2 linked regions of the Drosophila melanogaster genome follow. The protein of the gene in region 2 interacts with the protein of the main gene of each other region in a pairwise test. Each region holds a gene or a part of one and is shown on either strand. Other genes may lie near its edges.

Region 1 (5,275 bases), on a different chromosome or scaffold from region 2:
CAGTCCCAATAATCGACGGCGAAGCAGGTGATGTTTCCGAGACTGACACCGCCCATGTACATACATACTTAGGATAAGCCACAACTTCACATTCATGGTGAGTCCAGCTTAAGGTTAGGGCAGCCGCCGTTGGCTGAATTGAATGTTGTTCATACTTTAAAACCTCCTGCTAGTTAGGATAAGTCCATGATCGATCCGACTTTGAGTATTGAAACCGATTGTTGTTGACGAATGCGACCAAGTGTGGCAGGGCAGGGAAAGATCGGTGGGGCACGTCAAAAAGAGCCGAAGGAAGCAGTCATTATTTGACTTTGTGGATGAGTAGTTATCCGTAAGACATACTTTCCTAGTTCGAGTAGTTATAATTCTGTTTTTTATGATAATAAAACGAAAATACCGTACTGGCATATAGTTTCTCAATTGGAAAACACCACACAAACTTCCAAACAAGCTCGCTATTCCCCAAGTTGTGCTAAACTAAAGAACAGAAGGCAGGATTTTCGCATTTGTTGAAGATTTTATTGCGTTCTTTCAATGTTACTCGGGATCCACCACATCTTTATCCTTATCGCTACGTGTTACGTGTTTCTGGAGAGCACAGAGAGGTTACTTAAGACCAGATGGCGAGTTTTCTTAGCCGCGAGGACCACCGCCATCCACCCATTGAAGGTTTGTATACAAGTATGCATATGAGGCTGCATTTTTGTGTGTCTGTTCTCAGCTCTTGGTTCCAATTGCGTTTATTTTGATATACATGATCGAGTTTATCGTTCGACTTGCGCGATCATCGCTTTGATTGATCTTTTTACAAAATTTGATACTATGTTTATAGCTTTGTAAATGGGCGTCGATGAGCGTGTGCTGCGCTGCTGCTTCATGTTGTTGTCTATTCCCTAGATTGGTTTTTGTAGATTGTTTAATGTACATAACTAATTGCTTGCTTACGACTTTAATGCTTAATTTTATGCATGTAAATCACGTATTGCATACAAAATTGCCTCCTGTAAAATTAACCAAATTTCGGGTCCGTTGTGTGCTGCTCGTGCTGCTCCTGCATATGTAGCAGATGTTGCTCGTACTGCTGCTGCTACATAATAAAATAATTTACAAATGAAAGAGAGACAAGGGACGGTGTGAGTTGGGGAGAAAATAAACTGATGCTACGATGCTTCCTAGTTAAATAGGTACAAAAAAGAGGGCGCCGATACAAGCTGCCAGCTGGCCAGGACCCAGGACGAGGGGAGCGCCCTGGTCCTCCGCAGAGCGCAGATCTCGACATCTTCGGCGGCTACTTAGACAACAATTTCAACGGCAGCCGCCGGGTCCACTCATCTAAACCAGAGCTTCAGCCGCAGCGCGTCCACCCCGTTAAGATAGTAGCGGAACAGCCGCTTATCTCGCACGAAGCCCAAGTTCTCGTAGAGCCGCAAAGCCGGCTGGTTACGCATCTCCGTCTCAAGCACCACCTCGTCGGCATTGTCGGCCAGCATTGCCTGCAAATGGGAAAATTGCAGTGTGATATAAGTTTTCACAGAAAGAGAGGTAGTTGGTATGTATCCCTCGCCAATGTGCCCGAAAGTATACCTCGAGGCTCGAGGAGCCATTGGTGAGCTTTGATGGCAATTTCATCCATAGTTAACAACACATAATTGTTCCGTAACACACATATCGAGCATCGATTACATGCAACCCGATTTATAACTTATTGCAAGGGAAAGATGCCCCAGACATCCTACCTCTATGGCCTTGGTGACCAGCGTGGTGCCGATTTTGAGCTTGCGATACTCCTTGCGCACGGCCAGCATGGCGATGTAGCCGCGCCGCACGTTCATGTGCATATCCAGCTTGCACACGATGGCGCCCACGTACTGATTGTCGTGCGAGGCGAGGAAGCAGAGTTTTGGCCAATTGTAGATGAAGTAGCGATACGTGTATATCGAGTACGGCTCGGACAGCTCCGCCTGGATCAGTCGCATGATGTCCTGCGTGTTCGATATGCGGGGAATTAGATAAGTGTTGCGCACAGTTCGCACTTGGTCATACTTGGAGGTACTCACATGCATTTGGTGTTCAGCCTCGTATTCCTTATATACGATCTCGTCGGCTGAAATGGCAGGTTCCGGCAGTTGGAGCTGTGCTGTAATGGTGGGCGTGGCCCCCTCTGCATAGTCGGAGGGCGGTTGCTTCCTCTCCTGCTCCCGACTGTGGCCACTCCCCGTCGCCACATGCACTCCCTGTTCCACAGCTACATCCTCCGACACTTTTGGTTTTGGGTCCGTCGTTGTGGTTGGGTGTATGTTGGCAGTGGTTTTGCTTGTGGCTGTTATGGGCTTCTCCTCCGGTTTGAGGGAGTTCGAATCCGATCCTCCGCCGTCGCCTCCTTCTCTTCGCTGCTTGCGGTTGTTGTTGCTGCTGTCCACGCTGTTGTTGTTGTGAGTGCTGTTGTTGTTGTTGCTGCTGCCGCTTGTGCAGCGAATGTGATTGTTGTTGCTGTGCCCATGTGCATGGCCATTGACGACCTCCCCAAGCGGCCGAGCCTCCTGCTCCTTGTGACCATGGCCATTGCAAAGGTGCATCTTTTTAAGCAGGCCTCTGAGTTCCTGCGCTGGCTCCTGGTCTTCCGTCGCCTCCTCCTCTTGGTGCTGAACGTGTCCATTGCTGGGTGTCTGTGCCTCCACCTGGCCACTGGAATTTGGATTGTGATTGGGGTTCTTCTCCGCTGAGTTCTTTTTGTTCTTGTACTTCTTCTTTCCGGCCGCCGCTGCCTGGGCATCCGCCATTCTGAAAAGCGACGGAATTGGCTCTAAGAGGGAACCTGCTGCTCCTCCGGGGCTTATCTGGGAGGACTGGTAATCCTCGCCTGCAACCGTGTGCCTCGGACTTATTTTTGGTTATATTTTCACAGTTGATGGTTTTTCATTCACACGCACACGCACACGCTCACGCACATACTCACACACTCGCGCACGCACACATGGGGCAGTCGGCCGTCCTCTTTGTTGTGCTTCCGATATTCGGAGTTCCGGATCGATCAATCCGATCTCGATTTGTGGCGCTAGTGCGTGTGCATGGCAAACTTATGTAAAATCCTATATCCGCAAAACTCGTAATTTTCCTTGCTATGAATAAATCCCACCCACACATATGCGCGAACAGCTGTAACAGCAATCGATTGGCACTCGATACTATCGATACAATCATCGCCGGCCAACTGTGACTATCGGCTATCGAATTATCAATTGATATTATTACTATTAAATTAACAGCTAAGATTAATGAAAATATTTAAAAATTATATTAAATAAAATCTAAAACTACGTTGATTTTATCAAATTTATATTTGGCATGCACCTTACATCGCAAATGTTCATATATTTGATATTTGATTAGATTTGATCTTTGTAATATTATTACAATCTTTAAACGTAATATTCTCATACCTATATTCTTTATAGCTGCCATTTAATTTCTGACTTTGGAATGTTAACTTATTTGTATTTGCAATACTTTTGCCAAATTAGATCGTCAGCTTGTGCCTTTTTGCGAGGGTGTGCTGTACATAACGGAAAAGAGGATCAATAATAAGAAGAAGAAGCTGCTCATTTCAAAGTTCTCTTCTTGTTCTTCCTTTTCTTCTTAAAGAAGAAGCAACTATTTTACGGCGTAAAGATTTTTGATTTACGGGACTTTTGTTTGAAAAAAGTGCTGCAAATCAGTTTGAAGTGTTAGTTATAATTAAGTGCATGTCGTGGCAATGAGTAGCATCGAAATGTTACCCGAAAACGGATGGAAGTCCAATAAATTGCTCGAAACGTATGTTCACTTACACTCGCCATTTAAAAGTATACGTGTGTGTGTTTGTGTGTACGTGCGTGTTTTCTCCTGCGCTTATTTTTTTGTCTCTTTTGTTTTGTGATTTCCAAACTATTAAAAACGTTCTTCAATTGGTAAGTTACTAGTTAAATTCAGTTGTACTAATTAATAACTCTGCAGTGCGACCTTCGCCTACTTTTGGTTTCCTTTTCGCGCCATTAGCATTCGCCATAAAATAAAATCCATAAATTACAGCTAAATCAAATGCAATAAAACCAAATTACAATCTCGAATCATATAAGTCACATAAGTCACTAATCCGCAGTTTCCTGAGATCTGCACTTCCTCCACTTTCCTTGCCGTTTGTCTTGGTTGAGAACGCAGGATTATTCGGAACTTGCAAAGGTTTCGAGTCAAATGAAAATATAACCCCTGATTTTACAATGTATGTACATATGTATGTGGTAACTGCCAGGAGAAATCCGCCTGCCGTTTGCTGTCAATTTTGTGGATTTTTAACGACGGCAATCAGTCGACTGTTTTAGCGTTATAGCCCGTCGCTTTGATGGGGACTCCAGCTCCTCCCAACGTCATAATCGAAAGACTTGGGTAACGAACGAACTCGGCATGGCCGATGTCGTTGCCTCTCAGTTGGGCTGGCTGCCCCCAGAACTGGGACTACATCAGCACTAGCTGGTGACGAAATCGGCTGGGGAGGCCAGGCGGTCTCGATCTTCGATCTGCTTTCGGACCAGCATAGCCTACTTTGCATACGGAATTGGACTTGAATTTGATTGACTGAAATTGAATAATCCGAGCCACGCGATTGGATAATTTCTTGAAATTTTGCATACGAACTTGCAAGCGCAAGTTGGCGTCCGTTTTTCTGGACGTCTGTTTCACTTTTCGCTGTTGCTGCAGTGACGCGGGCAAATCCAAAATTAGCAAAGCAAACAACATACGGAGAAAGTGAATGGCCGAATAAAGTAAAAGCAGTGGCGGAGAAAGGGTAACGAAGAAAGGGGAGAGAGCGGGAGCGGACAGGTGCCGCAGCCAACGCCTTATCACCTTGCTGGCGGAGATCTCTAAAAGATAGAGATACAATTTAGCACTTAGCACCCACGTGACGAAATGATATATGCAGTTTGGCCACAATGGCATGGACTTCTTGTTTTAAACTATATTTTTTGTGTCGGTTGATCATGGTAACTGGCGGCTCCCCAGCCAACGGACATAGCATTGTCAGTTGGTTCGTCAGTGAAGTTGGTTCTATAAGTCAAGAGCTACGTATGCTAAGGCCACCTAAGGGTATTAGGGTATTTGGCCTGCGACCTGGGTATTTGACCAATTTTATTTTGCACATCCACGGCGCATTAAAGCAATTCACTTTTTGCGCGATGCTCCATAGCTCCATAGTTCCATAGCTCCAAGCCGAGCCCCACTCCATTCTCCCGAGCATTTG
Region 2 (5,364 bases):
GCCTAAAGAAACTATGCGCCGCCTGCGGTTGCCATGCTCCTCACGCCTGCAGCAAATGCAAGGCAATCCACTACTGCTCACCAGAGCATCAAAGGGCCCACTGGCCACAACACAAGCCAAACTGCGGAGCACCAGAAGTAGCCACTGAGAAGCCCTTAACACAAATCGTTTTCCCAGAATTTGAGATTGTAATGGACAGCAACCCCGTGGAGTCTGGCGAGGAGGACAAGGACGATGAGGCTCGCTTGGCGGAGTTCCAGGAGCTGGAGTCCAGCGGGAAGACGGGCGACTTGAGCAATGTTTCCGAGGCGGAGATGGACAAGTACTTCGGAAACTCGGCGGCCGCCGATGACAAGACCTTTCGTCAGTTCAAAAAGCAAACAGCAGCCGAACCCGATCAGATCGTGCGCTACAAACGTGGAGGCCAGCCCCTCTGGATCACGAATACCGTCAAAACGGTGGAGGACCAACTTAACAAGCTGCCCAATTGCATTGCTTGCGGAGGAGAGCGTCAGTTCGAATTTCAGATTATGCCGCAAGCGCTGACTCTTCTGGAGGACGAAAACCTCGACTGGGGCGTCCTGGCCGTCTACACTTGCGCCAAAAGCTGCCCCATCGACGGCTACGTGGAGGAGCTTCTCATCAAGCAGGACATTGTGGCGGAGGATCAGAGTTGACATTAAAATGCGTACATTTAAATTTTATTCTTGTCAATTACGAAACACGTGAACATTTACTTCAGCTTGATGATGGGGAAGTAGCTGTGTTTGGAGAAGTCGAACTCTGGCTGCCGCTTGACTTCCTTCTGGTGACCGCGAGCCAGCACATTCATCACCACAAAGTTAGTCCGTGCGATTTGCAGGAGGTCCAGCATCTGAAATTAAACGAAACGCATTTTAATCCAGGAAAACCAATTCAGAACTACCATTGACTTACCTCCTGATCTGGGTTTTGAATGCTTTCGAGAACATTGCGGGCCTGGTCAAAGTGCTTGGCCGCATAGGTATATAGATCCTCGACGCTATGTCGCATCATGTGCTCCCGGACGTTTTTGAACTCTGCGTACGAAACTGGCGGAGGACTGGTGAGTGTGGCGAAGGGCAGGAAGCGTCGGTTGTAGCGGATCTCCTCGTTGTCGAACTTGGACAGCGGCAGTCGCACGCGTCCGTCTTTGGTCAGGGCGCCCATTGCTTTATACATTCCGCCGCAGAGGCTGAGTAGCGCGTGGTAGAAGACGATCTCGGCGCGGTACGGCCTTTGAGTCTTTTTGTTCTTTTTCGGCTTGGCCGCCTTGCGGTTTTTAGCCGCTCCGCTGCCGCCCGACTGGGTCTTACTTTGGTGCTCGGCGTACTCCTCCTGGGCCAGGAGGATGTTCTCCGTGCGCGTCAGCGCGGAGACCAGGAAGCCAATGAGGAACTCGTATGGATACCAGTAGATGTAGAGGAACTCATGCACAGCATATAGTTCCAGCTCAAAGCCGGACATCAGGAAGATCAGCATCGCACGGAAACAGTTGTACAGCACCCATGTGGAGAAGTGGGTGCTGTGCTTCAGAGCGGTGGCCATGGGCTCGTTGCCCTCCATGGCTCGTTCGTTGGCCAGTTGGTTCATCATAGAGTCCAATCGCGCTGCATCCACTTGGATGGTGTCGAAGTTCTCTATCAGACGCGCCAGCTTATCCCGCTGTCTGGCGCGATTGAAGCCGCAGATGCGAATGAACTGCGTGAAGGTGTTCATGTTAATGCAGTAACGGAAGAAGTTCTCCAGGTGCTGCTGCACCTTGGGATCGGCAGCCACCGGATGCTTGGCATTCAATACGGGTGGCGAGTTGAAGACCTGAACCGAGTGGCGCAGGAACTGCTTCATGGGAAGCTTTCCGTGCGCCATACGCATGTTGGCGCTGAACAGGGTTTGCAGCACGCTTCTGGACAGGATGCACTGGCCCGACTTTTTGCTGTACTCGATAAAGAAGTTCTGGAAAGCCAGGATGTTATTACAATTTATTTTAGAAGTCACTTAAAAAGTCACTTACCAGCGCCGAATAGTAATCCTTGTACTTGGTGACTTTGCAGGCGTATTTGAAGCGCGAAATCATTTCCTCTAGAAACTGATAACTGGATGGACGATCCCTGATCTTAATGCTACGCGGAAACGCGGGCGGTTGGCTGCGGTCGTGGATGCGCGGAGAGAAACCCATGGGATTGGGAGCGTCAGCTAGTGATTTAGAAGGAAATACTCAGCATTTACATTGGCAAGTTATCTGTGACCACTTACACCCCTTCTCTGGTTGTGTGCCCCGATCCAAAGTGTTCCTTATTCCTGGAAGCATCTCGGAGGCCACAAGCAGGATTTTGTATATGTCTACCTTGTCATCGACGGTATCATTGCTGGCCATTTGCTCCACGTGGTAGATCACCTGGAAAAGATGGCGCATGAAACGCAGCCGGTGAACCACGGCCATCCAGTCCTCCGTGGAAGTCAGCTTTTTGCACTTGCGTATGAGCTCATCCTCCACATCCTTTAGCGAGCTATAAACAGTGGCTGGCTGTGCCTTCTCTGCAGCCAGAAGAGCAGAATTTCCGTACAGCTGGAAGTCCTCCTCCTCGTTGACAGCTGCCACGGCAATAATTTTCTTGATGACCACGATGAGATTGCGCACGGCAGTGCAGAAGACGCGCAGCGCCTTATCCTTGATCTGTGCGGGAGCGTGCAGGTAGAGGCAGGTGAATAGAACCTGGTCCATGGAGTTGCCCTCCAGCCAGGACACCAGGCAGGAAAACAGAGCATCATAGATGCCAATCAGTTCGGAGGGCGTGAGATCGTCCAGTTTGATGGCGCCCGTCTGGAAAGAGTCATCTATTAAGATACATATAGCTTAGCCAGGGGTCAGAAAGACAAATCTCACGGCAATGGCTGCCTCGAAAGAGGGCGGCGGAAGATCCTGCTTGTCGAAGCCCATGCCCACGTCCATCTTGGGGTCCATGATCTCGATGGCTGACATGGCCTCAAAAAGACCGAACAGCATATCCTGGGCCAGTTCCCCGGGCTGCAGCTCCGCGCAGGCATCGTGGAACTCCTTGGTTACGTCCACCCAGCCGTGCATCGGGTACTGGGTGATGTCCTCCGCAGCACTGCCGCTCCGCATGGTGCGCTGCACATCCGGATCCAGAAATCCGCACTCGCCCACGCTCCACTCGTCCTGTTCCAAGCTACTGGCCCGGGCAGCTGCCGCCGCGGCCGCCGTGGCAGCCTGGAAGTCCGGAGGCTCTGCAACGCTGCTGTGGATATGCGTATGTATGTGCATTTAGATGGTTATGCTCTGTATGTAGGCACGTCTGTGGGTTCTTGCCGGTGGTCTGTTGCTCACCTTCCGTTCATGGTGCTCGGATCTGCCTCCGCCGGCAAGGTCGAGGGATACATCTTTTGTACCTATATTCAACAGGCGGTCAACCTGTAGCTCGATGTGTTACAAATTTTCTTTTATTTATAAAAGATATTTTTAATGAATTAAAATATGTAACGTCCAGTGTGACCAAGTGACGAACGGTCAGCCATGCCTCTATGTTGCAAATATACCTCTTGGTACCAAACAAGTCATAATTTTCTATTTCTAAGTTCATTTTTGATTTTGCGGAGATAATCAATGGCTATATGATTATTAGAAATCTATAGAACAGTTCATTAATTTAAAGAAGAGTAGTTCATTGATACAGTCTTAAATAGGTATAAGCATAAATGCCTTCAGTATTTTTCAGCCCGCCAACATCCAACTTGGCAGCACTGGCGAAGTTAACAGTGTACTGTTTTAATTTGGGATGTTTTGAAAGCATTTAAAAGAAAGTCAGCAAAGATTTATGTGGTGCTTTTATGTTTTCCCATGATTTCAGCTTAGAATTTCTGTAAGTTACCCATAAAACAAGTGAGTTAGCATTCAAAATGTGGAACTTGGAGCCTTGGTGGCTTTTAAGCTGCACTGTTAAGCTTAACAGCCACGACCGTTACAACTGTTACCAAGTTCAAATGCTGAGTCAGGTGAAAATTGAAGTAAACAAGCAAAGCTTAGTTCATTGGACTGCGGCTGGCCCATTAACTAAACAAAATGACTGAAAGTGCAAGCCAGCGTTATCTGAGACCCAGACGACCGCCTAGACCGAACAGAACAGTTCCGCGGTTCAAAAAACACGGATCAAAGCACGAGCTCTCTTTAGTCTCACTTAATTATGTTTGCTCCGATTTGACTAAAGCAAATAAAGTATGCCTTGAACCGAGGCATTCTACAACCTTATCAGACGCGTTTGTTCCCGCTGTTATCGGAAACGGAAAAGCTCGCTTGCGCTTTCACTCCGCGGTTTCACTCCGGATTTCGAGCAACGCGGCGCAACGCCCGCCCCACGGATTTTGGGGTTGACCGCCACCCCGAGTGTTACAAGTATCCAAGTTGCGAGTGGGAGCTGAGCCCGAGGGGTTGGATTGGTTTGTTTACCACGGAGGCCCCACTTTCACTCGCTCGCTCTCCCCAAATCACAATCTTTCTCTGCCTCGGCTCCCAAATCTCTCTTGCTAGTGGCGATTTACTCAAATCAGAACGCTCATTTAAACGGAAGGTTACAATGTTCCCATAAACAGTGGATTCTTCTTATCAATACATTCATTTATGTATTTATTAAAACTTTTAGATGGAATATAAGTTTAAATATTTTAAGACTTTTAAGATATTTTGAATATGTTATTTGATTTCTTTAAAAGTGGTAATTTCGTGATTTATTTAAAAATAATTACATTGCTTGCCAAGAAAGCGCCTGGAGTTATGCAACATATTTGATTGTGTTAAAAATGTTATCCCCTTAGTATATTAATTTATATAACTTATTCGAATGCGATTCCCTTAAATCCCCACTTAAATCCACTGATTACTTCCTCCGCTGACATTGAGTAGTCTGCAGAGAGAACTTGGTAGCCCGAGGAGGAAACCCACTCAATGAATGAGCAGAACGCAGAACGGATGGGCAGAGAGATTGGGATTGGAAGCGACTGAGTTTTTGAGTTCGACCGGCGAACTATTTAAGCAACGCTCATTTGCTCATTGCATTTCAATGTGTTATCGTTGGCCATTAAAAAATAACACGAAAACGTTGGTCCCAAATCGCGAGAAGAATTCCACCTCCCTAGCATTCGAGTACATATAAGATTCTCAAGCCTGCAAAAGCTGGGCATCATCATTTCAAAAACGTGCTAACGGTTCACTTGGTCGGTCGAATCGGAACGAATCGGGCGAAAGTCTCCAACACAAATTCCGAAATTTAACGCTTCGTGGTATCCAAATCGAAGGAGGCGGCGCATTAGGCCCACTTATTAGCCAATTTC

What was found.
Region 1: the proteins of Naa35 (region 2) and Naa30A interact in a two-hybrid assay, tested with the Drosophila melanogaster proteins (2 studies listed by BioGRID).

The regions. Positions count from the first base shown.
Region 1 is NC_004354.4:1,339,997-1,345,271, reverse strand, and holds Naa30A (N(alpha)-acetyltransferase 30 A), read right to left. Parts: upstream 3,167-5,275; 5' UTR 2,781-3,166; coding exon 2,058-2,780; intron 1,983-2,057; coding exon 1,737-1,982; intron 1,494-1,736; coding exon 1,329-1,493; 3' UTR 502-1,328; downstream 1-501. Other genes in the region: MTPAP (mitochondrial poly(A) polymerase), read left to right, coding at 1-31.
Region 2 is NT_033778.4:24,134,494-24,139,857, forward strand, and holds Naa35 (N(alpha)-acetyltransferase 35), read right to left. Parts: upstream 3,558-5,364; 5' UTR 3,421-3,557; coding exon 3,368-3,420; intron 3,279-3,367; coding exon 2,906-3,278; intron 2,843-2,905; coding exon 2,275-2,842; intron 2,215-2,274; coding exon 2,033-2,214; intron 1,975-2,032; coding exon 937-1,974; intron 913-936; exon of another isoform or gene 875-912; coding exon 734-874; 3' UTR 687-733; downstream 1-686. Other genes in the region: Zfrp8 (zinc finger protein RP-8), read left to right, coding at 1-677. UniProt on the Drosophila melanogaster protein: Auxillary component of the N-terminal acetyltransferase C (NatC) complex which catalyzes acetylation of N-terminal methionine residues.